Oryzias latipes: one gene and its partners. The protein of the gene in region 1 binds, or shares a complex with, the protein of each later gene. Links are inferred from orthologs where the notes say so. Each region holds a gene or a part of one and is shown in the gene's direction. Other genes may lie near its edges.

Region 1 (3,091 bases):
CATCAAATTTAAGTGCTTTTTTTTTTTTTTTTAGCAAATGTTTAAAATAATATTTTTTAATTTCTATTTTGTTTCAGAAATTTTCAAATGTTGTCACACCAGACAAAAAGGCATCCCAGAAAATAGGGCTGAGACTAAGAAACCTCCTTAAACTTCCCAAAGCTCACAAGTGGTGCATTTATGAGTGGTTCTATTCCAACATAGACCGGTAAATCTCACTTTCCCCCCACCAGACTACTGGTTGAAACTTTTTGACTAATTCTTCCTTTTTTTTGACCAACTCTTTTCGTATTATTTCCTTTCCTCTTTTCCACCTTTAGACCTCTTTTTGAGGGTGACAATGAGTTTTGTCTGTGCCTCAAAGAGTCGTTCCCCAATTTGAAAACAAGAAAACTGACGCGAGTTGAGTGGGGAACAATCCGACGACTGATGGGGAAACCTCGAAGGTAAAACACAATTGAATTTTATTTATTTCAAATTCCAAATCATGTTTTATTGTGAAAAGTTGAGGACAAAAAGTGATTAGGACATATTTAAAACTACGTAAAATGAAAACAACAGCAGAGCCAGAAACTGTGGATGTTATTTGAAAACATTTCTTTTGCTACATCAAAAAAAATATTTCATAGAGGATTTTTCTTTAGTCTTGAGTTTATCACATTCTATTTTATTTTTTGGTAAATTCCTCATAAACATGATGTGTAAAGAAAAACAGATGTTCCCTCATGTCTGTTTCAGGTGTTCTTCAGCATTTTTTGCTGAGGAGAGAACAGCGCTGAGACAGAAGCGGCAGAAAATGCGTCTTCTGCAGCAGAGAAAACTGTCCGATTTGTCAAACTGCAAAGATCTTCCTGAAGAAATCCCTTTGCCTCTTATCATAGGAACCAAAGTCACCGGTGAGATCACTATAATGAGTATAAACCCTCAGTAAATGCTGGGAGCGACGGGCAATAAATGACTTTATGTGAACTTCCAGCAGGTCTCGACAAATGCAAGAGTTAAAACATGTCAAGCTTAAAAGTAATGACTAAACTACAAAGAAACAAGTACTCAGGTTGGGATCAAGATTGAAAGTTAGAAACGAAGAAAAGGTTGTTCCAGACAAACACAAGAATGTCTGAACATGTTTATTTACTTTTAATTTGATTTGATTTATTTTTATTTCAAACATTAATTGCAGTCAATACAATAAAAAAAGTCACAAAGATTCATCAAACTCATTACAGAAATGATGAAATGCATAGATTAAAAACAAACACAAAGACACACTTAAGTCATATTTGCTTAGTTAACTATTGTGATCATTAACTAAAGTATAAGTAGAGCTTGATTTATTGCTTATAAAGGAGTGGGAAGAAGCAAGTATATATAATCCCACCCCTTCGGAGTTATTTCATTTTTCGTTTTACATAGTTTTTCGTAATCCGGTTATGATCCGATAGATTCTTTTCAAGTAATATAATCAAGTGCTTATTGATGATTATCTGCAGAAAACATTCATTTATGATTTTAGTAAACAGTAATGTGAATCACGCACCATGTAACCAATGTAATACTCATTGATTATAACCAGAACACAATTTTAATAAATCCAGATATCATTGCTACACATTGCAGATCAAGTTATTTACAAAATCGAGTGCTTATTGATTATCCTCAGAAAGAACTACATCTTTTCAGTAAACAGTAATGATTTACACTTTAGGTAATCAATATGTAATCATTGATTATCATTAGAACACATGATCACAATAAACCAGTAATTATTGCTACACGTTGCAGATCAAGTAAAGAAAATCTATAACTTATTGACTGTAATTTAAAACATTTTAGTAATCATTATTGCACATTACTATTTAATACCCATTGGTTGTAATTAAAAGAGCTTTGATTATTTCACCACAATCAAGTTCACAAATGTATTTGTAATTATTCAAACACCTGTTGATCCTTAACTCCTCTTATCTTTATATCCTGAAATCAGAGTTTCTTTATAGATTTTCTGGAATATTTGGATATTTGAACATTGTTTGAGCTCATTCCAAAGTTTAGTGCAAGTCTAGATTGATCAAATAAATTGTTTGTATGATAGATACATAGCCGGCTTTATGTACAATACTGATGGCTCGTTTTTGAAGTAAAAAGAGAGGATGTAGTGAACTCTTATAATTATTACACCACATTTCTATACAGTAGGTGAAATATGTTAGTATTAAGAAGCATTATAACAAATATCTACTGTTGTATTCTAATTTATATTTAGATTTATTTATGATTTAATTTCTTTTTGAAACTTTAGTTTGTATGTAGGATGTTGTATGTTGAATGTGAGCTGGGATTAGACCGTCATACTGATGATGTGTTGTTGGAACGCTAATCCTGCTCACTTTTTCCAGCTCGACTCCGAGGCAACCACGATGGCTTGTTCACGGGGCAGATTGATGCAGTCGACACAAGCGCGGCCACCTATCGTGTCACCTTCGACCGCACTGGCCTGGGAACTCACACCGTGCCTGATTACGAAGTTTTGGTAAATGTGTAAATAAATGGTTTCACCAAAACAACCGGCAGCAGGAACTCTGAAGCTCGTTTTCCTAATCTAACGATTTGTTTTTCCAGAGCAACGAACCCAATGAAACCATGCCCATCTCGGCTTTCGCTCAGAAACACCGGTCAGCGCGGTACATGCAGAACGTCATGACTCCGCCCAGAGCGACGTATCCGTCCGTCACGACACCTGTCCACATGGTAACCGTAACATCAGTCTAATCCAACAATAATGGGCTGCCATTTCATATTTACATGCGAACTGTAAACATTTCTGTCTGCTGCCTGAAATGTGCCTTCAGAATCGTTTTGTTCAATTTATGAAGCCTATAGATAAAATTAAACTCAGTGATGGTGAAATCTTTTTACAGTTCTCTTTTATAACTTGGTACCTGAATGTTTTCTTTAACATGTTACATGCAAATCTTAATTTTGTTGGTTTTTCATGTCAATCGCTTGTGAAATCTGCCTCATTTCTCTACATGTATGTATTTTCTCCCAGGACAATGATCCTCTTATGAGCCAATCGCCTTGGAGGAACAAA
Region 2 (3,500 bases), on another chromosome or scaffold:
GGTAAAAGGACAAAACGGAATCATTTAAGTCCTTTACATCAGCGGCCCCCAACCACCGGTCCGTGGGTCATTTGGTACCGGGCCGCACAGAAAGAATAATTACTTGCATTACTTCCGTTTTATTTATTTTGGAATCTGAAAAATGTTTTCTTTTGAAAGATTGCCCGATTCTCTGTTCCATCCGTCTGTCACTCTTGCTCTCCTTGGTCACCTGACAGGTTACGGCTAAAATAAAACCCAGGAGCTAGCAAAAGGAGTAAAAAACAAACGTCTTTGGAAAGTTTCTTTGCCGAGGGGAAAAGGCCCAGCCAGGAGACAGAAGAGGAGCGTTCCACTCACAAAAAAAGAAAGCTACATTTAATAGACCGTACTTCTTTTTTACACCATGAGTGTGGGAAGGGGAGAGGAGGAGGATGTACAATGTCATGCCTGTCAAAATAAAAGCTCGGGGTTCGTTTCGTCACGCCACTGTTTCTCCTTAATCATCGTCGCGTTGCTCCAATATTCATCCGCCTACATCTTGAAGACCGGGCCGTGAAAACTCTGTGTGACGTCATACCGGTCCGTGGCGATAAAAAGGTGGGGACCGCTGCTTTACATGAGTCTAAATCCAGCTTGAGGAACACAGGATTCCAGTCATCATAACAGGATCACGCTTTTTCCTGTGAGAAGAGTTCTGGTCTTTACCTGAAACTTTCACAGATGCATGCCGATTGAACCACGTCAAAACCACGGGGGAACTACGAATAAACCACGCAAAGAATCAACGCAGAACATGAGCCGTGTGTGATTATTGCGCTGTCCATCATTCATCAGTGATTCATGCATCAATTAGGTAACTTTAACGCGATCTGTGCGCCGTATGCGTGATATAAAACGTATACATCAGTGGCACACGTGTGAAAAGTCAGTCAGACAGATGTGGACACGCGTGCAATGCCACAAATTTGCGCAGGGGTCTCGCACAATTGCGTATAAACGATGTAAAATATGCGTAAACTGCGTCATTCTCAACCGACCGAAAGTTTCAAACAGCTCAAAACGGAATTTGTGTTAAGATTCGTCCGCCGAAACCTTCGCCGACATCTGCGCACATCGACGAATGGTGAACGCAAGGAACACTTATGAATGACGTATATCATACACATCAGACGTCTTTATAAAAGGGGAAATGGGCGATTAGTTTCTGAATGATTTTCCTTTAGTACTGGAAAAACATCTCATTATTGCTTATTTCTCAGCCGCAAGTTTTTGGAAGCTCTTCCTGCTTCAGAGCGTTGGGGTTATTGAAATCTTCTGGTTTTACTCCTGCTGGCAGGTTACCGTGGTTTCCGTGGCCTCTCCCCCCTCCAACTCCTCGCAGAAGTCCGTCGCGCTGCCCGTTAACGTGGCGCTCGGCCAGCAGATCCTCGCCGTCCAGCAGTCCTCCGCTGTTTCTCCGGTCAAAGTGGCCACCAGCCAGCCTGCAGCTCAGGTGAGCGTGGAGCTCGCCTGCAGCCGACGCTCTCCTCAGATCCGCTTTACCTTTTTTTCCTTACCTTTCCACCCAGAACGTCAAACCTGTCCAGTCGGTGACCGTGGGAGGAGTCGGAGGCTCCCAGTTCAAGACCATCATCCCGCTGACCACCCAGCAGAACGTGCAGCAGATTCAGGTTCCAGGAAGCAGGTTTCACTACGTCCGGCTCGTCACGGCGACCACGTCCAGCAGCCCGGGCCAGCCCAGCACCAGCTCCATGCAGACAGGTGAGCAGGCGGGCCGCCGCCGCCGCCGGCCACAAACGGACCGCAAACTCACGGTTCTGGGCGTTCTGCAGGGAAACCCATGGTGGGCAGCACAGGAGTCAGGATGTCGGTCCCTGTCGTTCCAGCTCCAGCCATGAAACAGGTGAGTCCAGCAATGAAGGAAGGAGCACCTCACCTGAGAAACGAACCAATGTGAAAAGGCTGTTCTTTAAAAATGTTTAGTGTTCATACAAAGCAGTTCAAAGGTCAGCAGTCGGATTCAGAAACGTCTTGTCAGGTTGTTCAGTAAATTCCTGTCACTTAATACTGTCAGTTGGAGGGGGGGGCATCAGCTGGTGTTTGAAATTTGTTTGAAGATGAGCTTAAAACCCGAATTGGTGACATAAAACACACCGTTAGCAAATACCTGATGATGCTGCTTCCTCCAGGTGGTGCCGAAACCTCTAACGTCATCGGCACAGGTGGTGGCGACCCCTCAGACGCAGCAGCGCCTCATCATGCCCGCCATCCAGCCCAACCTCACCAACCTGCCGCTGGGCACCGTCCTGGCTCCGGCCCCCGGAGGCGGGAACATGGGCTACGCCGTCCTCCCCGCTCAGTATGTCGCCCAGGTAAGTGCCGCCTGTCTTCAGGTCCGGTCTTCTTGGGCTCTGCGTGTCAAATCGTCTTATTTATTTATTTTTTTTTTTTTTGATGGTCTTTCAGCTCCAGCAGTCTCCGTTCGTGACTCTTGCCAGCAGCTCTGGTTTCCAGGCGTCCAGCGGGATGCAGACTCAGGCCAAACTGCCCCTTAATGGGTAAGGGGGGGGGGGGGGTACGGTGAGCTGCAGACACACAAAAAAGCTGGAGCTCATGATGATTTATGTCGCAGTAAGGCTGAATTCAGACACATTTGGTTCGTCTAAAGTGAACCAGAGTTAGTTTCCCCCCGATAATCCGGATCAAATTTTGAGTTCGAATGCAAACAAGCGGACCCTGGTCCGGGATCAGACACCGCCCTCTGACCCATCTTTCGAGGTGGTCTCGATTCCAACCGGACTCCGGTCTGAACAGGCTCTATACTCGGAGCGGAACATCTGGATTAAAACGGCCACCGTAGCCGGGCATTATGGGAGTAGCGGAGCTACGGCGAGACAGCAACTCATTGAAATGCGGTCGGATGAATTAGTTAAGTTTATTTATTTGAATCAGGACATTGCATATGAATCAATGTTTCAGCAGCTGCTTCAATATAAATATGCTAAAGTTAGCACGGGAGCTAAATCTCATCAGTTGTCCTAAGGCAGGATAAAAGGTTACAGCACAATAGAAAAGCACAATATCGGTGATAAAGATATTTACAAAGGTTAGTTACAATAAAACACAAGTCTATAAAAACCCAAGAAAAACAATATCATCAATGTCTGCAGGACTGGATTGTTTTCAGCCGTTGTTGAAGAGCTTTTTGGAAGGTAGGATAGTTTTCACGGTCTCTGATGTGCTGCGGCAGCGTGTTCAGTAACTGTGTGCCTCTGATTGTCACCACTGTGGCTACATTTAGTACTGCGCTTTTGTACATTACAGTCCCCTCGAGTCATAGCCCTGGTGCCTATTCCAACATTTTCTTTTTTTGACATATAAAATCTAACAAGGGGGGAGGGGCTAGCCCATTCAAAACTTCAAAAATGAGACGGACATCCATGAACATGTTGTAGCGATCAAAATCCATCATGCTATACTTAGAATGTCACAGTAATGATAACGCAGAGGCTTTTTGT
Region 3 (3,066 bases), on another chromosome or scaffold:
AGGAGGACCTGATCATCTACAAGGCTCACTGCCTGCTGGGAAACCGCTGGGCTGAAATCGCCAAGCTCCTCCCTGGAAGGTTCTTAACCCTTTAGCCCTGCAGATGTCCACGCCGACACCTTAATAACACACATTCTTGGGCGTACCGTAACACTTTGACTATTTATGCGCTCAACCTGAATCGGTGGATTACTATACTAACGTAAAGTGTTGCATAACAGCTCCAAGCTGCTTTTCTCCGCTTCAGAAAAATTGTCTGTATTTGAGAACTGGACTGAGTGAGCGTGATGTCACCCACAGAAAATGGCTTACTGGTTCCAGCGAAATGAGGTCAATTCAGTCACCAGTTTTTTACAATACCAAGGCCGCCATGTTGGAATCAGACGTCGCCAATGAGGAGTGATTAGTCTGAGTCAGCCGCTCTCGCCAATCAGGAGCGAGCTCGTTGGAAGTCCCCGCTAGGCCTACACAAATGTATCGCCATCACAATATCAGCCTGTGCGAGACGAGTGTTGCAAAAGACTAAATCGTTACCTTTACATTCGATGAAACAACCTCATGGCAGCTTAAAGTATTTAACGAATCCAATGCGCATTTGGCCAATCAGGTGGAGCCCGTGGGTCATTTGGAGTCTAAATTAAGTTATGTTGACTTTTTTTTTTTGTTTTTAACAAAGAGTTGCAGTGAAATAGTAATTGGTTTTTCTTTGGCTGTTTGTTCATGTAACTCGAGTCGTATTGTGTTGATCACTAATTTCATAAATTGAAAGTTGCAGTGCAGCCCTACTTCACGCCCCTACCACTCTGAAGCTGGCGACACAAAATCTGTCAAACGTTTGACGTGCACATTTTTATTGAGGCACCTGATTGGCCCATTTATAACTTGAATGTTCAGAATCCTCTTTAAAGTCTCGAATTGCGTAAGCGGTGGAAGAGTTACGGTAGTCGAAAGAATGACAAAACATTGACTAAACCCCTGCAGATTTCTGGGTTTGGAAACTTCCAAGTATCCATGTGGTATTTGTGGTAACAGGACGGACAACGCGGTGAAGAACCACTGGAACTCCACCATCAAGCGCAAGTTGGAGATGGGCTTCTACGCCGGCGAGGTGTGGGGAGCCAACGAGCTGGAAGACATGATGGCTCGTATCGGTAAAGACGTGCCGGTGGGTGAAGATCTCCTCAAACGCTTGTTTCCGGTAACTCATTTCCAATCAACTGAAGGTTTTGTTTCATGTTCACGCAGACGACGGCTAGCTTCTCCCAGGAAGCTCTGGAGACGGAGGAGGAGCAGAAACCCCAAGGCGCCTCGGTGAGCGGCCGATTGAATCCGTTCGTGACTCTTCACGGTTTACGTTCAGTTCACCTTGATGCGTGATGTTTCCGCAGCAGACGCAGGAAACCGCTGCAGAGAACACGGGTGAAACCAAGCTACTAAACGCCGCCCCCTCACCGAAAGACAGCCTGAGCCCTAAAACGGACGGAGAAATGAGCTGTGGCAGCTGGGTGGTGGATGGTTCTGGTTTCCTCTCCCCCACAGGCCCGGCTCTGAAGGAGGTTTTGGACCTGGTGGACGGGGTAAGATCAACTGTTTGTAAATACTTGAGATTGCCACCTTTGAGAGGACAAAAGCAAGGAAACTTCTGTTTGAAGGATCTGGACGGGTGGTGCAACTTGGCGGAGTTCCACCTTCCAGAGGACAGTCCCAGTCCAGAGCGCCACCAGTTCCGCCTGGAGGGCAGCGCTCTGCAGGAGCTGAGCAAAGGCAGCAAAGGAGAGCTCATCCCCATCTCTCCAGGCGGGATCACGCCGCCCTCCATCCTCACCTGCCGCCACCGGAGGCGGGTGGCCTTGTCTCCCGACACCACCATGACGCCCAAAAACACCCCCGTCAAGCACCTGCCGTTCTCTCCCTCTCAGGTGGGCCTCAACACAAAAAAACTCAGAAAAGTCTATTTTCGGTGCCTCCGTTTAACGCAGTTCGTCTTTCCAGTTCCTGAACATGTGGACCAAGCAGGACACTCATGACCTGGAGAACCCCTCCCTCACGTCCACACCCGTGTGCAGCCAGAAAGCCATCGTCACCACGCCACTGCAGCGCGACAAGACGCCGCTCACTCAGAAAGAAAACTCTCTGTGAGTCGGCCTGGTTGCAGCGTTTTCTGTAGATGTGATTTCATTGAACCTCCTGGTTTGTTGGAGTCGGGGTGCGCGGCGGCAGCAGACCTTATGCCTGAAGCTGCGTTCACAACGCCCCCAGCAACGCGCGTTCAAGCAACCACGTCCAATGAAAAGGCTATGTAAACGGGCGCTTGGTGCCTTCGCTTTCACGCATCGCTACACACGTTTTTAAAACCGTTTTCGGGCTCTGCGTTCAGTGGACACCTGTTGAAAGTTAAACCGGGTTGAATTTGACCAATCAGGGACTAGGATTTGGTAGTTATGAATGGATGGCGTCCCTTTTGATTCACTGAAGTGCCAATCATGAAGGAAAAATTAATAATTGCCTTTTGTTTCTGGACGGAATTCTATCACACCAAGTCTTTCAGAAATTGGAGTAGAGCTGGGGAAAAAATAGCCTGGAACAAGATTTTTGACATTTTTCGACATTTTACACCGAGTCTCTTCCAACAACAGGCGGCGGCCATGGTCTGTCACAGGTAGTGACACTCCGCCATATGAACACGCATCACATGCGTGGTGGTGTCACATGCACCCATACAGGTTCTCCTGTATGTCCAGGCTTGCGGAGGGTCGTAGACAGGCAACCCGATTCTTTAAGGGAGCATTGATTTGGGTTACTGGAGTTTTTTCAAATGTAATAGAATAAATGAGACGGGATTGATGAAAATAAAATAAAAACTGGAAAGAATAAAGCGCAAAATCCCAATAAAGCATATTGTGTTTTTGGTGTAACTCCTATTGCAACATTCACACCAGACATGTGACGTTTCTTCAAGAACACGCATTCTTGAACATACTTTTAGCAAATGGTGTTCACACTGGAATGTTGCTACCGGATACTTGTGCATGTAGTCATTGTCGGTGTGAAAGGTCGAAGCGGAGC
Region 4 (4,011 bases), on another chromosome or scaffold:
ACAATTAATAGCCAATATTGGTTCATTTTGAACGATCCAGTTCAATCACTGACCTAAAATCCAGCCAGGACATTTTTAGCCAAAACTTTTAAACCAGTGTGACTCTGGTACTCTGATACTTCTGGCAAGTGTAGAGTTGATGTGTACACATAAACAAGTAAACAAAAATTAAAAGAAAATCCATTCAAATTTTGGTTTCATAAAGTTGTAACACATGACCACATGTCTTTACACAATTCAAAGTGTTTCCACACATTGGACTGTAACATTCTTTTTTATTTTTTGGCTGCCACCACATATGTGTTGTCTGCTGTGATGCACTTGGTCGCTTTTATGTTACGGTAAAATAAACCTACCATGTCTCCAAATGCTATTTTCCAATCTTGACATTTTCGATTTATTTAATTTTGAAAAGATTTTATAATAGTTTGAATAGATAATAGATTAACAACTGCCCTAGAAAATATGTAGAAATATAAAATTGTTTCACTGATTAAGTCGATTAATCGTTACACCCCTATAATAACTTTTAAACTTAAATTATGTGGTAACATTTTTGTGGTTAAAAAAAATAAAGTCGTTAGGATGCAATACTGAACTCAAATAGTTAAATTCAAAATATTTAATTTACAAACCAATGTTTACACAGTACACTAATTCGCACTGCTTTGCAACCTTGAAAATGTTTCAGTCAATGACAATGTGGTTTGGAAGAAAAGCTTTAGAGGGGAAAATAATTTTCAAATATTCATTTGAAGAACGGTGCCTGCGTGTGCGCGCGTGGAAGTGCGTTTTCTTCAAGTTTAAGTTGCTAAGAGTTCGAGTTAAACTTTCTCCTCTACCAAAAATTCTTGCAACCAATACTTCCCCTAAAATCGCAATAGAAAAACTACTAACCGTCTTTTTTCATACTTTTTTCAATGTTACATTAAAAATAAATCACTAGAAATACATGTTCGTGCTAGCAAATGTATTTTTTACGTGGTTTTATTTTTTCATGAACATTTGCACACGGTCCCTAAAACGAAAGCACCGTCCCGTCATACCTCGCGTGGCCAACGGCTCTCCACCGACTGCTCCTTCATTGAATTTCCATACTCGCTGCTTCAGCTCGATTTTGCTCAGTTATTTTCAGAAAAGCAGCTAGTATTGACTCGTAAATTTGCACCACACCATCCACGCGTGTGTGTTTCGAACTGCGGCGGTGGAGCTTTCTTTCTTGGGCTCGCTGGCTGGATTTAGTCGGAAAGCAGGCAAGAGAAGAGGGGAAGTACGGAGCTGATCCGGAGCAATGATGGAGCTGGAGACGGCCAGTAACAGAGGCGACCCGGGAACCGTGGGAGACTCGCTGCAACCGCAGACGCCGAGCAGGCACGAGAAGAGCCTGGGCTTGCTCACGACGAAGTTCGTCACTTTATTACAAGAGGCGAAGGACGGAGTCCTGGATCTGAAAGCTGTGAGCTCTTTGTTGTTAGCTAGCACATGTCACTTTGAGCCAGCCCGCAGTCGTTAAGTTACATGGTATCTAGCTAGCATGCTAGCCTAGCTTAGCTGTGTGACAGGCTAATTTGAATGAAAGATAGCTTTGCCTTCTAAGTTTGTTGTTTTAGTTCACCACTTTTACAATTAAAATCACATTTAATATTTTATGGTGCAGATTTTTGCCTTTCTGAGTGAAGAAACGAAGTGAATTTCAAGAACACCGGTCAACTTTTTTCGACTCTCTGCCCCCCTGCAGATTCAAAGTTTAGAAAGTGGGTCAGCTTTTGTCATTCTACTCTCAGTTAAAGCCACTGCACCTTCACACTTGAGCAAGTTTGTTTTATGATTGATTGCGTCTTTGTCCACGAACGACATGCGTTTATAATGTTGCTTTTCAGAAATGACTCAAAGCGTGAAGTAGTACTCGCACAGATGTTGATTAAATTAGGCTAGCTTTGTTTTTCACAGTACAGGGGCCACATTTCCACATTTCCATCACTAGCTTTAATGCAGGAATGTTTACTATTGGGATTCTGCTAAAGTCCCACATTGTTTGATGTAAAAGCTCAAATAGTTTTCTACAAATACAAAAAAATATATAACGTTTGCACTTTTCATATTTTTACATTAGGGGTGTTACGATTTATTTGAACAATTTGATCCACTTTATAATTTGTGCTTCACGACATGATTTATAGTCCGGGACATCTTTAGCCAAAACATCAATCAGTGGGACTCAGAGATAAATAAATGGGTACTGAACAGTGTCACTTGTATTTCTTGTAAATGTAAATAAAATGGCTTAACAAACAAACAAGTAATTCCCATTTTAGTGTCAAAGTTCAGCCCACTTTTGCCATAGATAGGGTTGTTACGAATAATCAGTAAATCGATTTATATTGCTGCGATCCAACCAGATTGACCTGAAGCAAGTTGTTAATTGAGTCAACGTGTTTTATTATTATAAAATCCTTTCAAAATGAAATAAATCAATTATATGGATATAGGAAAACACCATTTGGATTGAGGTTCTGAAGGTTTATTTGACCATAACTGTAAAAATAACCGAGTGCATCACAGTAGACAACACGCATGTGACGGCAGCAAAGCATGACCAACCATCATTACGGCTCGATGTGTGGAAACATAATTTTTGACCATACAGTGTGGTCATATGTCGCAACTTGATGAAACCAAAAATGTGAATGGATTTGACTAGGGCTGCACGATATAATGAGGAAAACTCGCGGTATGCGATATTAGTGATAAACATTGCGATGAGGATATAACTTGCGATACATGAACAAATAGCAAAACGATCAAAACCATAATTTCCATTTCACTGCAACAGTTTTAATTTAAATAAGAGTTGCCCCTCGTCTACATAGGAGGCCAACATAAAAGAGCTCCATCCCATTGGTCAACCACGTGAAAGGCTCCATCTGATTGGTCAAATGTTTAAATGAATTTATTTGATTCATTAAATACTTCAAGCTGCTATGAGATTGTTTTAGCACTCTTAAGGTTACGATTTATTGCAATTTTTGCAGACTTTTGCATGATATATCATATCATGATAACGATAAATTAGTGATTTATTGTGTCTAGATTTGCCATTCATTCTTGTTTGTGTGTTTGTACACTTATTTAATTTACGCTTGGTTATTTTGCAAGGAATCTGGAAAACCTCCGCTGTGCTGTTCAGTACCAGGTATTTCTCTCTGAGTCCCACTGATTGATGTTTTGGCTAAAAATGTCCTGGATCTATTTTAGGTCAGTGAATCGGATCGTTCAAAATGAACAAATATCTACTATAAATCGTATTGTCAACCACAAATTATTATATTAACCGAATTGTTCAAAAGGATCAATACACCCTAAAAAATGTAACATTCTTAGAACATTCTAGCCCACTGGATGGGACCATGTCTTTGCTAAATTCAAAGTTTTTCCACAAACTGGACTGGAATGACGGTTGATCAGTTTTTGCTGATATCACTTGTGTGTTGTCTGCTGTGATGGTCGATTTTACATTATAGTAAATAAACCTAACGTGCCTCAATCCAAATGGTATTTTCCAATATAACTAATTTATTACATTTTGAAAGGATTTTTTTTTAATGGTATAGGTCGCTTGGATCAGCAACTTGCCTCAGACAGATTTATTTGGTTGGATCGTAGTAATATAAATCAATTTATCAAATAAGTGGATTGATTGTTTCCCCCCTAATGTACATATTTTTCTATAACAGTCATAGAAGAGAGACACTTGAGTCTAAAATCATTTAAATTACAACACACTGATTCTGTTTTGTTATTTTCTTAACTGTCATTTTGACCATTCAGGCATTACATTATGTATGAAGAGTTCTGCTTCTTCTCTTTTTGAGTCTGTCTTCCTGATCATTTCCTTCTTGTGTGACTGGGTTGATATAGTGTCTGCTGATACTCTAAGCTGCGCTGCACCTCGCAGATAAAACACTCCACGCACGTGCACACATTTTTTTTCTTTTTCTTTCCAACTGACTT
Region 5 (3,970 bases), on another chromosome or scaffold:
GCAGACCTCATATTTACATCTAGTTGGTGGGAATGTAAAGGCAATAAAGAATTTGTTGATTTTGAGTAGATCTTTGTCTTCCTTCCAGTTTCTACCTTTTTCATCCTCTGTCCTATGGCATGATGGGTCCTCTTGCCCATGAGCCGGGCAGTGCCATGGCAGGCCTGAAGTGGATAGACTCCTGGGACTTCTAGTTATCCTTGTTTGATTAAGATGTCACAGACACGGAGCATTTTGAGCCGAGGGAATTTCAAAACATCAGTTTGAGTCTAAACATTTCATTTGTCTTTCTGTAAGAAAAAATGTGAATTCAGTCAGTTTGGAAAGCAGATTGTAGAATCTTTTAAGATGCACTGGAGTTGTCACCAAGTTGCCTTTAGTGACAAACTAAATTCCATTTGAAAGAGACAGTAGTTGTTGTTTTTTTTAAAGCCAGAACATTTTACATGTATTTTTAGTTGAGATTGTCCTGAGCTTTAGTATTATACTTTTGATTTTGTGTTTTTATTATGTTGATCAATAAATTGTTTTATTCTTGTATTTCATGTCCTGTTATATTTGCAAAATTTACAAACACAAAACGAGATGTGCCGCAAAGTCAAAAAATTGGAAAACTCAATATATATATATATATATATATATATATATATATATATATATATATATATATATATATATATAATAAATTGTACCGTTTTTTTATGTATACTTAAGTTCAAACTTGTAAAATCTGTGAAACATGGGCCTAGTAAACTAAATGCAAGAAATTGTTGTTATAAAAATATAAACTAAATGCAAAACATTCCAAATCTGGGATGTGAAAGTCTTGTTTAATAATTGAGTTATGGTTTTTCTTTCCAGAAATAAAAACTAGAGGGAATAAAAGGTGATTTAAATGTCCCCTAAGGTAAAACCATAAAATGTACCAGCATTGTAACATTTCATTGAGACTATGGTGGGCTTAAATAAGGGTCTTTTCATTAAGTTATGACAGTAATGTTCGTACTACAATTTCTAAGACGATATAAATCTTTGAATAAAACGAACAGTAATCTTCTGTGCCTCTTGTAAACAGCGCGAGCACCATTGCCGCCCTCTAGCGGCGTAATTTTGAAAAACATCGCCACACCTCAAAACAGAGCGCGGCCGCTGCGATTGGTTGTTGCATGTCACATGATTATTTTGAAGATGGCGTCTCCAAATGGAGGTAAATTTTAATTCTTCTCTCCGATACGCTTTGAATACATCGCAAATGTGACAGTTTCGAGACATTTAAGTCGTTAACAGTTATAACGCAGTGTAATGTGAACACCCAGAGGTAACGTAAAATTTGTCGTAGGACTAAATTCTTGTTTAATCGGTTTGTTTTTCTTCCTTTGTTTTTCCTGATTCTGGGACTGACATTGTCCGCCGTTGATGATGACAGCAGCAGTCCAGATTGTTCTTCTTGTTGCTTCGTTTGGCCGTTTGGCTCGAATTAGCATCAGTGCTACATTTAGCACTTAGTTATTTTTCTCTACTTTAAATTAGTAGTAGCTGTTTTGGTTGCTTGTTAGATTTTGTGTGACTGTTCGACTCCTTTGATTGAAAATGGAATCAGTCTGCTATTAAGTATTATGTCCGTAATGAGTATCTTTTAATGTGTTAAAAATGTTGAAAGCAAATTCTAAAAAGTTTAACAGTCTGCAGAACCAATAATGTTATTAGTTAGTAATTCACACTCTGTCAAGAGTTATTGAAATTTTGGATACAATTCTCTATATTGGTGAAGGACCAGTGTTCAGATTTGATAGCAAAAGTAATTGTTGATAAGAAAGAAAACCCTTTATACATATACAGACAAATAAGAAAGAAAAGTGTCTCTAACAAGTGTGCCAAGAAAAGATCCCCCATACCATCACACCACCACCACCAGCAGCCTCAACTGTTGATACAAGGCAGGATGGATCTATGGTTTTATGTTGTTGATGCTACCATCTGAATGTCCCAGCAGGAATGGAGACTCTTCAGACCAGATGTTTTTCTAATCTTCTATTGTCCAGTTTTGGTGAGCCTGTGTGAATTAAAGCTTCAGTTTCCTGATCTTAGCTGACAGTAATGGCAGCATTAGGTGTGGTCTTCTGCTGCTGTAGCCTATCTGCCTCAAGGGTTGTTCAGAGATGCTCTTCTGCAGACCTTGGTTGAAACCAGTGGTTCTTTGAGTTCCTGTTTCCTTTCTATTAGCTGGAACCGGTCTGGCCATTCTCCTCTGATCTCTCACATCAACGAGGCATTTCTGTTTAAATGGCCAAACATATTTTTACAGCAGTGTAAGAGTTATTAGTAGATGATCAGATCACCACATGACTATGACCTCTTTGAACATTTTAATTGATCAGTGTTTGTACGAATCTTAAATGAATAAAACCATTTATTCTCATTCGAAACTGCCTAATTTTAAGACCAGATAAATATTAGATTTTTTCCTCTCTTTCTGTCTAGATAAAACATGAAACAAAAGTTGTTTTTAGGTTTCAATTTTTGACCTGTTTATAAAAAGTTACTTTTTAATTTTTTTTAAATTAACATTTGGCTGAATTTTATAGTTGACCACTGATTTCCAAAAGCATAGAACTTAAAAAACTAAAGAACATGTCAAAGTGAACCACTGTGTGCTTCTGCAGGGGAGGATTTTGAGATTTCGTTGCTGAGTTTTGAGAAGCTGGACAGAGCATCACCTGACCTGTGGCCAGAGCAGTGTAAGTTTCTATCCTCCCACGCCCAGCTGATAAAAAATTACTTTGTAATTGATTCTTTATGTGAATTCTCACACAGTGCCTGGAGTTGCAGAGTTTGCGGCAACTTGCAAAAATGTGAGTTTAGCTCTGATCTAAAGATGCAGGATTGACTCTGCATAGACTGATTGGAGTTGAGACTTTGTATGTTGTTGTTTTTCTCTTTTTATTGCAGCCTATCACCACCTCTCCTCCAAAGTGGATGGCTGAGTTGGAGAGTGAGGACATTGAAATGTTGAAAGGTTGGTTCAGACAGCTGACATTTATCCTGTATAAACCTTAGGGAAAACATTAAAAACCCACTCTGATAAGAAAAACCGTGTTTTGAACATGTTCTTGTGGCATTTGATATCTTGACATCTGATAATGGAGGACACGTATAAAGAAAATTAAGCTTGAAATTGCATTTCTGAGTTCTTATTTATTCAAATCGTTGTGAATCAGGAGCAGATGAAAAAATGCTGTTTGAAATTTCTTATTTCTTAATCAATATTGCTCGCCATTTTCGTTTCTAAGGTTAGGTTGGGGGTGTGAGTGGCTGTAAGCTAGCAGTAGAGTGTATAAACTGATGATCTACTGCAGCTCTGCTCTAACTGTCCTTAAAAATCACACAGTGTTTTTTTTCTATCTCGGCAAAAAACGGCATAATCATTCATTAAAAGACCTCTGGGAACGCCTTTTAACCCTTGTGCTATCTTAGATGACCCCACCCTTACATTGACGTGTTCTTCCGACCATGACAAAGGTGGATAAAGGTGGAAAGATTTCATGTAATCCATGGACACCAGTGAAGATCATAAATCATTGAAGAAAAAAAGTTCAGCGCACTGTCTAGTGGGTCTACATGACCCAACTCCCAACGTTAAAGTGCCTAGGATAGCACAAGGGTTACAACAGATCAAAAGATCAAATCCGAGTGGGACTTTAAATAATAATTCATGTTTCTTTAGCTAATTAAGTATCTCTAAATGCTTTTATTTAGTGTGATGTTATACCTCTGCAGAGCTGGGAAGTCTGACTACAGCCAATCTGATGGAAAAAGTCAAAGGACTTCAGAATCTGGCTTACCAGCTGGGTTTAGAGGAGTGTAAGTATAACAAAGACACTTCACCACTAGGGGGGGCTAAAAGCATTTCCACGCAATTCTCTGCCGCTGAAGTCTTTGGCTGCTTCCACATTCAAATTCCAAACAGGTT
Region 6 (4,199 bases), on another chromosome or scaffold:
CATAAAAACTAAGCAACACTTTGTTGTTTAGTGGCAAAGGTAGCATAACCCTTTACGCTGTGACTGATTCCAGTGAACTCACAGTGACGGATCCATCATGTGTGACAGCAGAATCGTGGTCGTCTGTCCAGGGATAGTAAGATCATGCAGATGATAATAAACATACACTATTATGAAAATAACTGTTTGATTATCGGGTACAAAGGTAAGAGATAAAATGTACCTTTATGTAATGTTTTAGTTTGTTTTCCACAGGGAGATGATGAGTGGAACATCCACCACAAAGGTTCCTGCTCTTCTCCAGAGACAGGAGTCACTGGCTGGCGCTGTTTCCGACTCTGAGGTAGACCATGTCGAAAACGTTCTATGTATCTTCAAAAAGCAAAGGTTAATGATTTGTCGAGCAACGTTAAAAGACTAAATATGAAATGAGATTGTGATGAAACCAGACAGCACGGCACGCACTTAGCCAGCACAGAATCTTCCTGAACTCCTGAGGAATCTTTGGAAGCCTCAGACCTCAGAGGCTGATCTCTTTCCTCCATATCAGGAGTGATGCTACCAAGACGAGATGCGTGTTCAGGGGACTGCCAAGACTCAGCAGCCACAGATTGTCCACCAGTAGAAGAAACATGGCGATCATGTTTCTTAAACAGTTTCTGATTTTTCTGAGCACATGATTGTAATTTTACACCGGATCTCCTGCTTGTGCAACCAGGACTGCGCGTCTGTAAGAAGTACAAGAAGTATGAAGTAATAGTTAGAATCGACTTGACAACAAAGATGTTAATGAAGTTATCTTTAATACTAACACTTTTGTTCTTTGTCTTTGACAGAAGTTGCTTGCTGGATGATTGCTTGTGTGCCCTTCTTTCCATGGATGGTGGCAGATGAAATTTCTGCCCTGTGAGAACAGCATCAACACAATTTTTTTAATAAAAATGATTAAGCAATAGTAAAACGCATAAAATAAGTTGTATGTTTATTATTTTTACTTCTAATTTTCTGACCCCTCCTCTCTAGTCTAATTTAAACTGTACTTTTCTGCTCATTTGGTGGATGATAAAAAAATCCTGACCTGTGGATTTGCACATCCACACCACAACATCAAGCAACACATTGACCCATAACAAACACGTACAACAACAATGACACAGATTTACAAGACCAAAAGTTAAGATTTTGTGAAGAAAAGAAAAACCTACCTAGTTGGCTTTTTGATTAAAGTACACCTAACAAGATGGATGAAACCAGAAAAGCTGTAGCGTTTGAGTTGTTTACGGCAAAGAACACAGCTTGTGGAAATTGACCAATCAGGGGCTGAGTTTTGAATAATGGACAGAACAGTTGTCCAATAATAGTAAGATTCTGCTCACAAAGCATCCAATCAGATCATAGAGTCTACAGCGCGCGGAAGAGAAAACCTTGACAGGGATACTTCTGGGTAAAAAAAAACGCAGTTAGCAACGGTTGTTTGGCCACTAGCTTACCCACAACACTACTTGACCACATCGAACAGAGCGTGAACAGTGTAATATTGTTGTTACATAGATGTAGTTGGTAGGGTAAAATGTTTCTCTTCGTGTCAATTTAATAATTAAATACATGTAGATAAAAAAATTGTGGCGTAATTTTAAGAGTTTGGGGTGAGGCTAACGCAAAGGTTAGCTAACTTAACTGAAAGCAGGAGCGCAGCTAGTTTCGGTGCATATTTAATTGTTTTAAAACAAATTAAACTGTGACTACCTGTAGTTACTGATCTACTACGCAGATCTGTTTTTACCCCCTGGGAAATATTGTTTGACACCATGCACCACGTCAAGATCAAGTCGGAAAGGCCAGGTAAGAGAGAGCAGGGCTATTTTCACGAACTGTTGTTTTATTTAATTAGACACCTTTAGTTAAAAGAGCTTCACAGAGACACCGAAAGGCTCTGGCAGTAAAAAAAAAAGAAGTCAAATAATTTACATTGTAATGTGTAGGGGTAATAACAAACTAGTTAAGCACATTATTATTATATGTATAAAAATAATATAACATTTGGTTTATAATAAATGAAACGTTTAAAAAAAATTAAGCGCAGTTAATTATTTAATTGTGATTTGTGTAATAATTTCTCCTAACCCCTTAAAAACGTCTATTTAGGAATTGGTTGATCCATTGGTTTAGTTCAAGCATTGATTGTAGACAATACAGAAAAGGAAATCACACAGTTTTATCAAACAGAAATAATGAAATGCACTGATTAAAAAAAATGTAAGAAGAAAGTTATAGTAATTACTCATAATCCAGAATCGATTTTTCTGCAATGATGCAGAGAATACACATTTAGGTCACATCAGATTCATTCCATATGATTACCAACTAAAGTCAAGTTTTAATTTTTAATTGAAAAGGAGTAGGAAGACATTTGTATGATCCCACCCCTAGTGAGTTATTTCATTACAAATTTTTGCATCGTTGTCATAATCCAGTTTTGATCCAATCGTTCCTTGTAAATGTAAAATTATGGTACGGTATAGCTTAATAAATTGTGTGTAAATATTGTTAAGGAACCACTAGATTCCATATAGTACTTTGTATCTTCAAAAAAGTCCGATTTCTTTTTTATTTACCATCCAAAATATTTAAGATTTTGGGAACTTCATAGCTAAATTAATTGCACATATCTTTTAATGGTAATAATTTTATGGTTATCCATGTTTTCTGTTATAATTTTTGTAACTGTTTCTATTACAGAGCTGGAGGAAAGCGGTGCACGCAGCAGACTGGATGCTGTGCTGAAAGGACTTGTAGAGAAGAGTGAACATGAGAAGTTAGTGAGATTGTGATGCTTTTTCATAATTCTTTTTATATTCTGTTTTACTGTGAAGCACTTTGTGATTTTTATCTTGAAAGGGGCTATACAAATAAAGTTTATTATTATTATTATCATCATAATGATCGCTCATCACTGTCTAAAATTGTCGTTATGCTTTAAACAGGGATCCAAACGAAAATGATCCTGGGAAAATATCTGTGGATTCTTTAAACAAGTAAGCTCAGTAAATTTTTCTTTTGTTCTGTTTAATTATAAGTGAGGAGGAATTGATATCAGAATCAGAATCTTTTATTATCATTCTGCAGAGCACAATGAAATTTTTTCCAGCAACTCTCGATATAAAAAGGTAGAATAAAATAAAATAAGAATAAGGAGCTATATAAGGCATAAATACTTAAATACTGTACAGTAGAGTGGGGTGAATATTGCACGAGTGGGTATTCCACATTAGAATGGATATTGCACATACAGCATGAATATTGCACACAGTTTAAAATAGAGATATATATTCTAATATACTGCATAAAGCTGTAGTATACAGTATATTATACAGTATACTGCAGCTTTGTACAGTACAGTACATTACAATATACTGTATAAAGCTGCAGTGAATTCAGCTGTTACTTTGATGCTTTTTGAGTATTTTAAATAATGATCAAATGAATTTCTTGTTTTGAGATAACATCCTTTCTGCCCTTTTTAGGGATTTGTCTCCATCATCTGCTGGAAAAAGGTAAGTCTCTGTATTCAGAACGTGGGTTAATAATGTCTTTTATACTTTTTTATGTCCTGTACTGTTCCTAAACATTTTTTTTACAGAAAAGCGACTATTTGAAACAGTTAACATGAATTGTATTTATTGTTTTGATGTGGTATTTTATTTTTATTTTTTTCAGACAATCAACTCGATTTCCACAACACCGTAGAAAGAAAAGGAAAGAGATGGAAGAGGGAATACCAGAGACTAATCAGCATAAACAAAGTAAATTTGACTCTGACTTTTGCTTTTTATTGTGTGCAAGCTTTTCATTTACAGCAGTTTTTCAATTGTTAAGAAGCGTTTCTATTTGATCTGCTTTGCTCCTAGATGCCTACATCATTAAGCTGTTTGATCGCAGCGTCGATTTGGCTCAGTTTAACACCAGCACCCCGTTGTATCCGATCTGCCGTGCCTGGATGAAAAACAATCCTTCTGTTCGAGAGTCTGTAGCCTCCCCCGGCTCCCCGCCCGGCATGACAGAGGAAGAGGTGGGGCTGTCCAACATGTCCAACAAGGGCAATATGAATCTGTATTTACAGGGAAAATTTACCAATCTCTTTGTAATTCAACATCACAATATCATAAAGAGCATTCTTTATCTTTGTTCGTAAAGCAGCA
Region 7 (4,275 bases), on another chromosome or scaffold:
AAAACTAAAGCTTTTACACATTTCTTTGTTCACAAAAAATTAGAATCTCAGATGTTCACAGAGATTTTTTTTAGATGAAGACTTGAAATGTGCCTGAGACTTTCCAGGACCATATCTGACCTTCATTACAAAATTTAAGTTTAAATACCTGTGCCATCTTGTTTACCTCCAGATTCTTTCAAACCATGTGTAAATAGGTTTGCAAACTGTAGCCATAGTGCATTACAAAAAAAATTTATTTATCTATAACTAACCGGATTAACCCACACAGACTGGTTTTAACATGTAGTTTTTGGAGATGTGGTTGGATATGTTTCTCGTGTATTTGAGATTATTTTTGGCCACCTGTTAAATTTGTTTTCCTTGTCACAATCTCTGTATCAAATAAATAATTTATTTAATCTTTAATTTTTTTGCAACATGCAGCTTGAACACATTATCTCTTCCCTCTCAATAATACCTGGATCCTAAAACTAAAAATCAATATCCTGCTAAAAGATAACATTGTCATTTAAATTAATAGCATATGTTTGACTAAAATAGGTTTATAATAATTGTAGAGTTCTAAGTTGTTTAGTAGATTTTGGAATCAAAGTGACGGACACATTTATTCATTCTAAGTTCAAAAGTTTCTTGTGCTCTTATTTTTGTAAGGTAATCAACTTCCGGCTCCGTGCATTTTTTTTTACAATGACAACACTCTTGCATCAACAAGTGAAACAGTCATCTACAGGCTTTTAAGTAAACATCACCATTTTCTAATATCAGCTTTTCCCTCCATATATTAGTTTGTAATAAAAACGGGTTAATTTAACACTACACGTGTCACCCAAAGACAAACCACTCCTAGAAGTTTAGACTTTTTTCCCCTCTGTTTTTTGATATTTCTGCAAATTTTTAGGATAAAGATCAGGGTGTGAATAGGAAAACCTTTTTTAATGTGGGAAAAAATGCAGTTGTGTGATGGAAACCATCACACAACTGCAGATGGACGTTGTGTCCACAAGGTGGCAGTAAGATGACGTGTTTAGACTGAATGTCAGCTTGAAGAGATGTAATGGATGTAACAGTTTTTCATGTTTTATTCATATTTATGTTTTAATTATAAACCGTAAGCCAAATTGTTTCAAGCAATTTGGTTTCAGGTATATTTGTGGAAACTCATTATTATTATTATTATTATTATTATTATTATTATTATTATTATTATTATTATTATTATTATTATTACATCAATGCAGACCATATTTATCATCACTAGAAGTTGTGTAAACTGTGTTCCCACACCGAATATGCTTATTCTGTCACTGTCACCTTAAGCACCCGCCTTTTAGAACGTTGACCACTGAAAAAAACCTTGCGGACTTTTAGACCATTCAGCCGTAGATTCGTCGTCCTCATTTGGACCAATCAGTTTTGAGTATCAGTCCTCGTGTTACACGGCCCTAATTCTGACCAATCAGGAACGAAGCCGCCTGCGCAGAGAGCTGAGCGCCAGAATCGGCGGGATGGACAAAAAAAACCAACCCAACTCTATAACGCCATGCAGACGTACAGAAGCCCCACATTATGAGCGGAAGGTGCGGTAGCAGTGACAATTTATTCAAGAATTTTATTTACACCCGTCGGCATACTATTGGTTTCTAGCGTTTCAAACGTGATCTGTAAGAGGCGCCCATATGATAAAGAGCGACCGTTGGTTTGCGTTTCATTAGAGATGATATCTTCATGGACAGCTGCCTGTTCTGGGTAATGTTATGAGTTCTTCTGCGTGGAGTTAGCTAGCTGGTTAGCCGAAACGCCAAGTCGCCGCATCTCAGAAGACGTCGTTCATGACCAAAAAGCAGTTTTATGGAGAGACACCTGTTCACGCGCGATTATTCCACAGAACTGCCAAACACAGGGTTGTCTTCGAGAACTTTCGGTTCTGCTGTCGGCTGTTATGGACAAAGTGAAATCACGCAGGTAAGACTGATTAATACTCAAACGTCACAAAGCTCGTCGACTACCTTTCTCCTGTTTCTATACTTAATAGAAATTAAAAATAAATGAATATACTGACATTATTTAACATTTTAGCGTTTGTTTATAAAAATAAACGATTACAGTCTAATAAAAAAGTTTCTGTAACAACACTGACACTATTATGGCGGCATATTTTAAGATAAAAAATATAGTTAATTCACATGTAGTGTTATGCCAAAATATTACATTTTCTTTTCACTTTTTAAATTTAATTTTAATTTAATTAATTTCGGTAACCTTCACGTGCGACATAAAGGTTATACTGTAGTTCTAAATGCATTTCTATATCATGCAAATTAATTTTTCATTGAGTTTTTATTGCTATTCAATTGAATTCAATGAAAAAAAATATGTATGTGGGCTTTTGCGGCCACATCATCACACCTAAAAACACACACACTAATGCACTTTGCTAGTGAAAGAGTCTGTTGATGTGAGATTGCCCCTTTCCGCTTGTCACCTTACACCCCTCCCTTCTGTTTTTACACACAGTCGCCCCAGTGAAGAAGTTTGGCCAGACTTAGGTTTATAATGACACGTTTGCACAGTAAAGAACAGACATTCATGGACTTTCTGACACTAAAAAGACGGAAAACAACTGCTTAGTATATTTGTGGGTGGCACGTTTCAGCTCTTTAGAACATGTGTTAGTTCTGTTTTGTAGAACTACCTCACTGTAACAGCAAAACATTAAATATTGCATCATTTTCTTTCAAGGAAAATAGATCTGGGTTCTTATGTGTTAAGAAAATAACTTATTCAATATTGAATTTTAGGAAATACTTGCACATTTGCTTTTCCCATGATATGTTTAAATTATTTATGAACCTTTAATTGGTAGGCCTAATTTCATTAAGATGTTTATCAAGGTTAAGGTTAACCCTAATCCATCCTCCAATGATCTTTTCCTGCTGCCAGGTTTTGGTTTATAAATTTCAAAACTCCAAATGGAAGTAAAACATTTTTTTTGTTGTTGCTTATGATAAATTTTCTTTTAGCTAAAGTTGTTAACTTTCACAGCTACTTTTCATATTTAGGTCTACATGTTAAGAATGGGTTAGGAGGAAACAATAGGTATTAGAACAGAGAATAATAACATGATTATGGTTCTTTTCCCCTTTTCCTGTTGTGTTTTCAGTACTGATGAGGATGAAGAGCTGGTGTCCACAGATCCAGAGAGTAAAGAAAAAAGCAATGATAAAAAAAGACTGGGCAAAATAAAGTGGTCACGAGAAGAGGTATGTTTATTATAGAAACCAAAAAAAGGTGAAACTTATGCATCTTTGGAAGACATTTCTAACCATATTTTTTATTTATGCACCTGCTAAATGAAAGCACACTGTGAAAATGTTTGCTGAAAGCGTGGAATTATCAGTTTTTTCTTTTTAAACTCATAATTAAAGGATGAAAAGCTGAAAAAACTCGTGGAGCAACACGGAACTGAGGCATGGAAACTAGTAGCTACTTTTTTCCCTGTAAGTATTGAGTCCACCTGGTTACGGTTCCATCAAGAACGGTTGTAGCCGGTCCTGCGGTGGGATGAAGTGTTGCACTCTGTGTTCCTGTGACTCAGGGGCGGACAGATGGTCAGTGTCAGCACCGCTGGCAGAAGGTGCTCAATCCAGAGCTGGTGAAAGGACCCTGGACAAAAGAAGAAGATCAAAAGGTAAGAAGAGCTGGGAGTGTCTCTTTTGGACAGATGACTGAGGAGAAAAATGATAGGGGGAAAGAAGAAAACCCTGGGGAGGGTACAGGAGGAAACACGGGTGACACAAAAAGCAATGCAACTTTTAGCTTCAATCTAACATGGTTTTGCAAATGTGCTAACTTTATCCTCGTTCTTTTTCTATTAGTTTGTGTGTGTAATACACCAAAACAGACATTCTGTAGTTTTAGAGTTGAATGTGTGTTTGTATGAGCATTACACTCCTCAACTGTAGCTTAGTTTGTCCGTCTTCATGCTTTATATTTCTGACATCATACTTTATAAATAGAAGTGCAGTCAGCCAACTATGACTTCACAACATTTTTCTGCTCTGAGAAAAACGTTTCAACAAGTTCTGCTGCTGCTGTTCTCTATGCTTTTTAACCAATGCATTATTATTATCATTAAGATTAAGGATCACAAGTCAATTTGCTCTAAGCTACTTTTAATTTGATTTGTTCAGGTTATCGATTTGGTGCGCAAATATGGGCCGAAGCGCTGGTCAGTGATTGCAAAGCACCTCCAGGGAAGGATTGGAAAACAGT

The links.
Region 2: lin9 (region 1) and lin54 share a complex: the UniProt entries of both Homo sapiens proteins name them as parts of the DREAM complex. The link is inferred for Oryzias latipes from reciprocal best matches to the Homo sapiens genes LIN9 and LIN54.
Region 3: the proteins of lin9 (region 1) and mybl2 are in contact, whole or in part, in a crystal structure (PDB 6C48), measured with the Homo sapiens proteins. The link is inferred for Oryzias latipes from reciprocal best matches to the Homo sapiens genes LIN9 and MYBL2. Residues at the interface, in NP_001353174.1 of Homo sapiens: Lys356, Gln385, Arg386, Tyr388, Ala389, Thr390, Val392, Leu393, Leu395, Glu396, Asn399, Leu402, Asn403, Leu406; in NP_002457.1 of Homo sapiens: Trp663, Ala667, Cys668, Gly669, Gln674, Met677, Gln678, Ala681, Arg682, Leu684, Leu685, Arg687.
Region 4: lin9 (region 1) and e2f4 share a complex: the UniProt entries of both Homo sapiens proteins name them as parts of the DREAM complex. The link is inferred for Oryzias latipes from reciprocal best matches to the Homo sapiens genes LIN9 and E2F4.
Region 5: the proteins of lin9 (region 1) and lin52 are in contact, whole or in part, in a crystal structure (PDB 6C48), measured with the Homo sapiens proteins. The link is inferred for Oryzias latipes from reciprocal best matches to the Homo sapiens genes LIN9 and LIN52. Residues at the interface, in NP_001353174.1 of Homo sapiens: Leu335, Gly336, Phe338, Phe342, Leu343, Ile344, Val346, Thr347, Leu349, Ser350, Lys351, Leu353, Met354, Lys356, Lys357, Ile360, Leu363, Arg364, Asn367, Thr368, Ala370, Glu371, Lys374, Ile382, Phe384, Gln385, Tyr388, Ala389, Val392, Leu395; in NP_001019845.2 of Homo sapiens: Asp61, Met64, Leu65, Leu68, Gly69, Leu71, Thr72, Thr73, Leu76, Met77, Val80, Leu83, Gln84, Leu86, Ala87, Leu90, Asp93, Glu94, Glu97, Met98, Arg100, Gly101, Leu104, Asn105, Ile106, Leu107, Glu108, Pro110.
Region 6: the proteins of lin9 (region 1) and lin37 are in contact, whole or in part, in a crystal structure (PDB 7N40), measured with the Homo sapiens proteins. The link is inferred for Oryzias latipes from reciprocal best matches to the Homo sapiens genes LIN9 and LIN37. Residues at the interface, in NP_001353174.1 of Homo sapiens: Lys99, Ala101, Ser102, Gln103, Lys104, Ile105, Gly106, Arg108, Leu109, Arg110, Leu112, Leu113, Lys114, His119, Trp121, Cys122, Ile123, Glu125, Trp126, Phe127, Thr227, Leu237, Phe238, Leu272, Ser273, Asn274; in NP_061977.1 of Homo sapiens: Tyr95, Ile97, Leu99, Phe100, Asp101, Arg102, Val104, Leu106, Ala107, Phe109, Ser110, Glu111, Asn112, Thr113, Pro114, Leu115, Tyr116, Ile118, Cys119, Arg120, Trp122, Met123, Asn125.
Region 7: lin9 (region 1) and mybl1 share a complex: the UniProt entries of both Homo sapiens proteins name them as parts of the DREAM complex. The link is inferred for Oryzias latipes from reciprocal best matches to the Homo sapiens genes LIN9 and MYBL1.

What each region holds. Positions count from the first base shown.
Region 1 is NC_019882.2:7,720,829-7,723,919, forward strand, and holds part of lin9 (protein lin-9 homolog), read left to right. Parts: intron 1-77; coding exon 78-208; intron 209-320; coding exon 321-446; intron 447-738; coding exon 739-896; intron 897-2,396; coding exon 2,397-2,530; intron 2,531-2,619; coding exon 2,620-2,748; intron 2,749-3,049; coding exon 3,050-3,091. UniProt on the Homo sapiens protein: Acts as a tumor suppressor. Inhibits DNA synthesis. Its ability to inhibit oncogenic transformation is mediated through its association with RB1. Plays a role in the expression of genes required for the G1/S transition.
Region 2 is NC_019870.2:2,875,781-2,879,280, reverse strand, and holds part of lin54 (protein lin-54 homolog), read left to right. Parts: intron 1-1,318; coding exon 1,319-1,474; intron 1,475-1,550; coding exon 1,551-1,743; intron 1,744-1,814; coding exon 1,815-1,885; intron 1,886-2,171; coding exon 2,172-2,354; intron 2,355-2,448; coding exon 2,449-2,540; intron 2,541-3,500. UniProt on the Homo sapiens protein: Component of the DREAM complex, a multiprotein complex that can both act as a transcription activator or repressor depending on the context. In G0 phase, the complex binds to more than 800 promoters and is required for repression of E2F target genes.
Region 3 is NC_019863.2:23,220,275-23,223,340, reverse strand, and holds part of mybl2 (myb-related protein B), read left to right. Parts: coding exon 1-79; intron 80-1,032; coding exon 1,033-1,165; intron 1,166-1,245; coding exon 1,246-1,311; intron 1,312-1,388; coding exon 1,389-1,577; intron 1,578-1,652; coding exon 1,653-1,919; intron 1,920-1,992; coding exon 1,993-2,135; intron 2,136-3,066. UniProt on the Homo sapiens protein: Transcription factor involved in the regulation of cell survival, proliferation, and differentiation. Transactivates the expression of the CLU gene.
Region 4 is NC_019864.2:28,153,448-28,157,458, reverse strand, and holds the start of e2f4 (transcription factor E2F4), read left to right. Parts: upstream 1-1,211; 5' UTR 1,212-1,291; coding exon 1,292-1,456; intron 1,457-4,011. UniProt on the Homo sapiens protein: Transcription activator that binds DNA cooperatively with DP proteins through the E2 recognition site, 5'-TTTC[CG]CGC-3' found in the promoter region of a number of genes whose products are involved in cell cycle regulation or in DNA replication.
Region 5 is NC_019880.2:13,721,382-13,725,351, forward strand, and holds the start of lin52 (protein lin-52 homolog), read left to right. Parts: upstream 1-1,170; 5' UTR 1,171-1,173; coding exon 1,174-1,207; intron 1,208-1,258; exon of another isoform or gene 1,259-1,318; intron 1,319-1,993; coding exon 1,994-2,047; intron 2,048-2,663; coding exon 2,664-2,738; intron 2,739-2,814; coding exon 2,815-2,852; intron 2,853-2,949; coding exon 2,950-3,016; intron 3,017-3,777; coding exon 3,778-3,861; intron 3,862-3,970. Other genes in the region: pomt2 (protein O-mannosyl-transferase 2), read left to right, coding at 89-194.
Region 6 is NC_019874.2:15,177,520-15,181,718, reverse strand, and holds the start of lin37 (protein lin-37 homolog), read left to right. Parts: upstream 1-1,399; 5' UTR 1,400-1,444; intron 1,445-1,771; 5' UTR 1,772-1,808; coding exon 1,809-1,842; intron 1,843-2,739; coding exon 2,740-2,815; intron 2,816-2,984; coding exon 2,985-3,035; intron 3,036-3,524; coding exon 3,525-3,554; intron 3,555-3,717; coding exon 3,718-3,803; intron 3,804-3,908; coding exon 3,909-4,069; intron 4,070-4,199. Other genes in the region: proser3 (proline and serine-rich protein 3), read right to left, coding at 83-123, 224-372, 466-728, 813-878.
Region 7 is NC_019878.2:17,044,996-17,049,270, forward strand, and holds the start of mybl1 (myb-related protein A), read left to right. Parts: upstream 1-1,475; 5' UTR 1,476-1,508; coding exon 1,509-1,580; intron 1,581-1,888; coding exon 1,889-1,965; intron 1,966-3,163; coding exon 3,164-3,263; intron 3,264-3,428; coding exon 3,429-3,500; intron 3,501-3,598; coding exon 3,599-3,691; intron 3,692-4,193; coding exon 4,194-4,275. UniProt on the Homo sapiens protein: Transcription factor that specifically recognizes the sequence 5'-YAAC[GT]G-3'.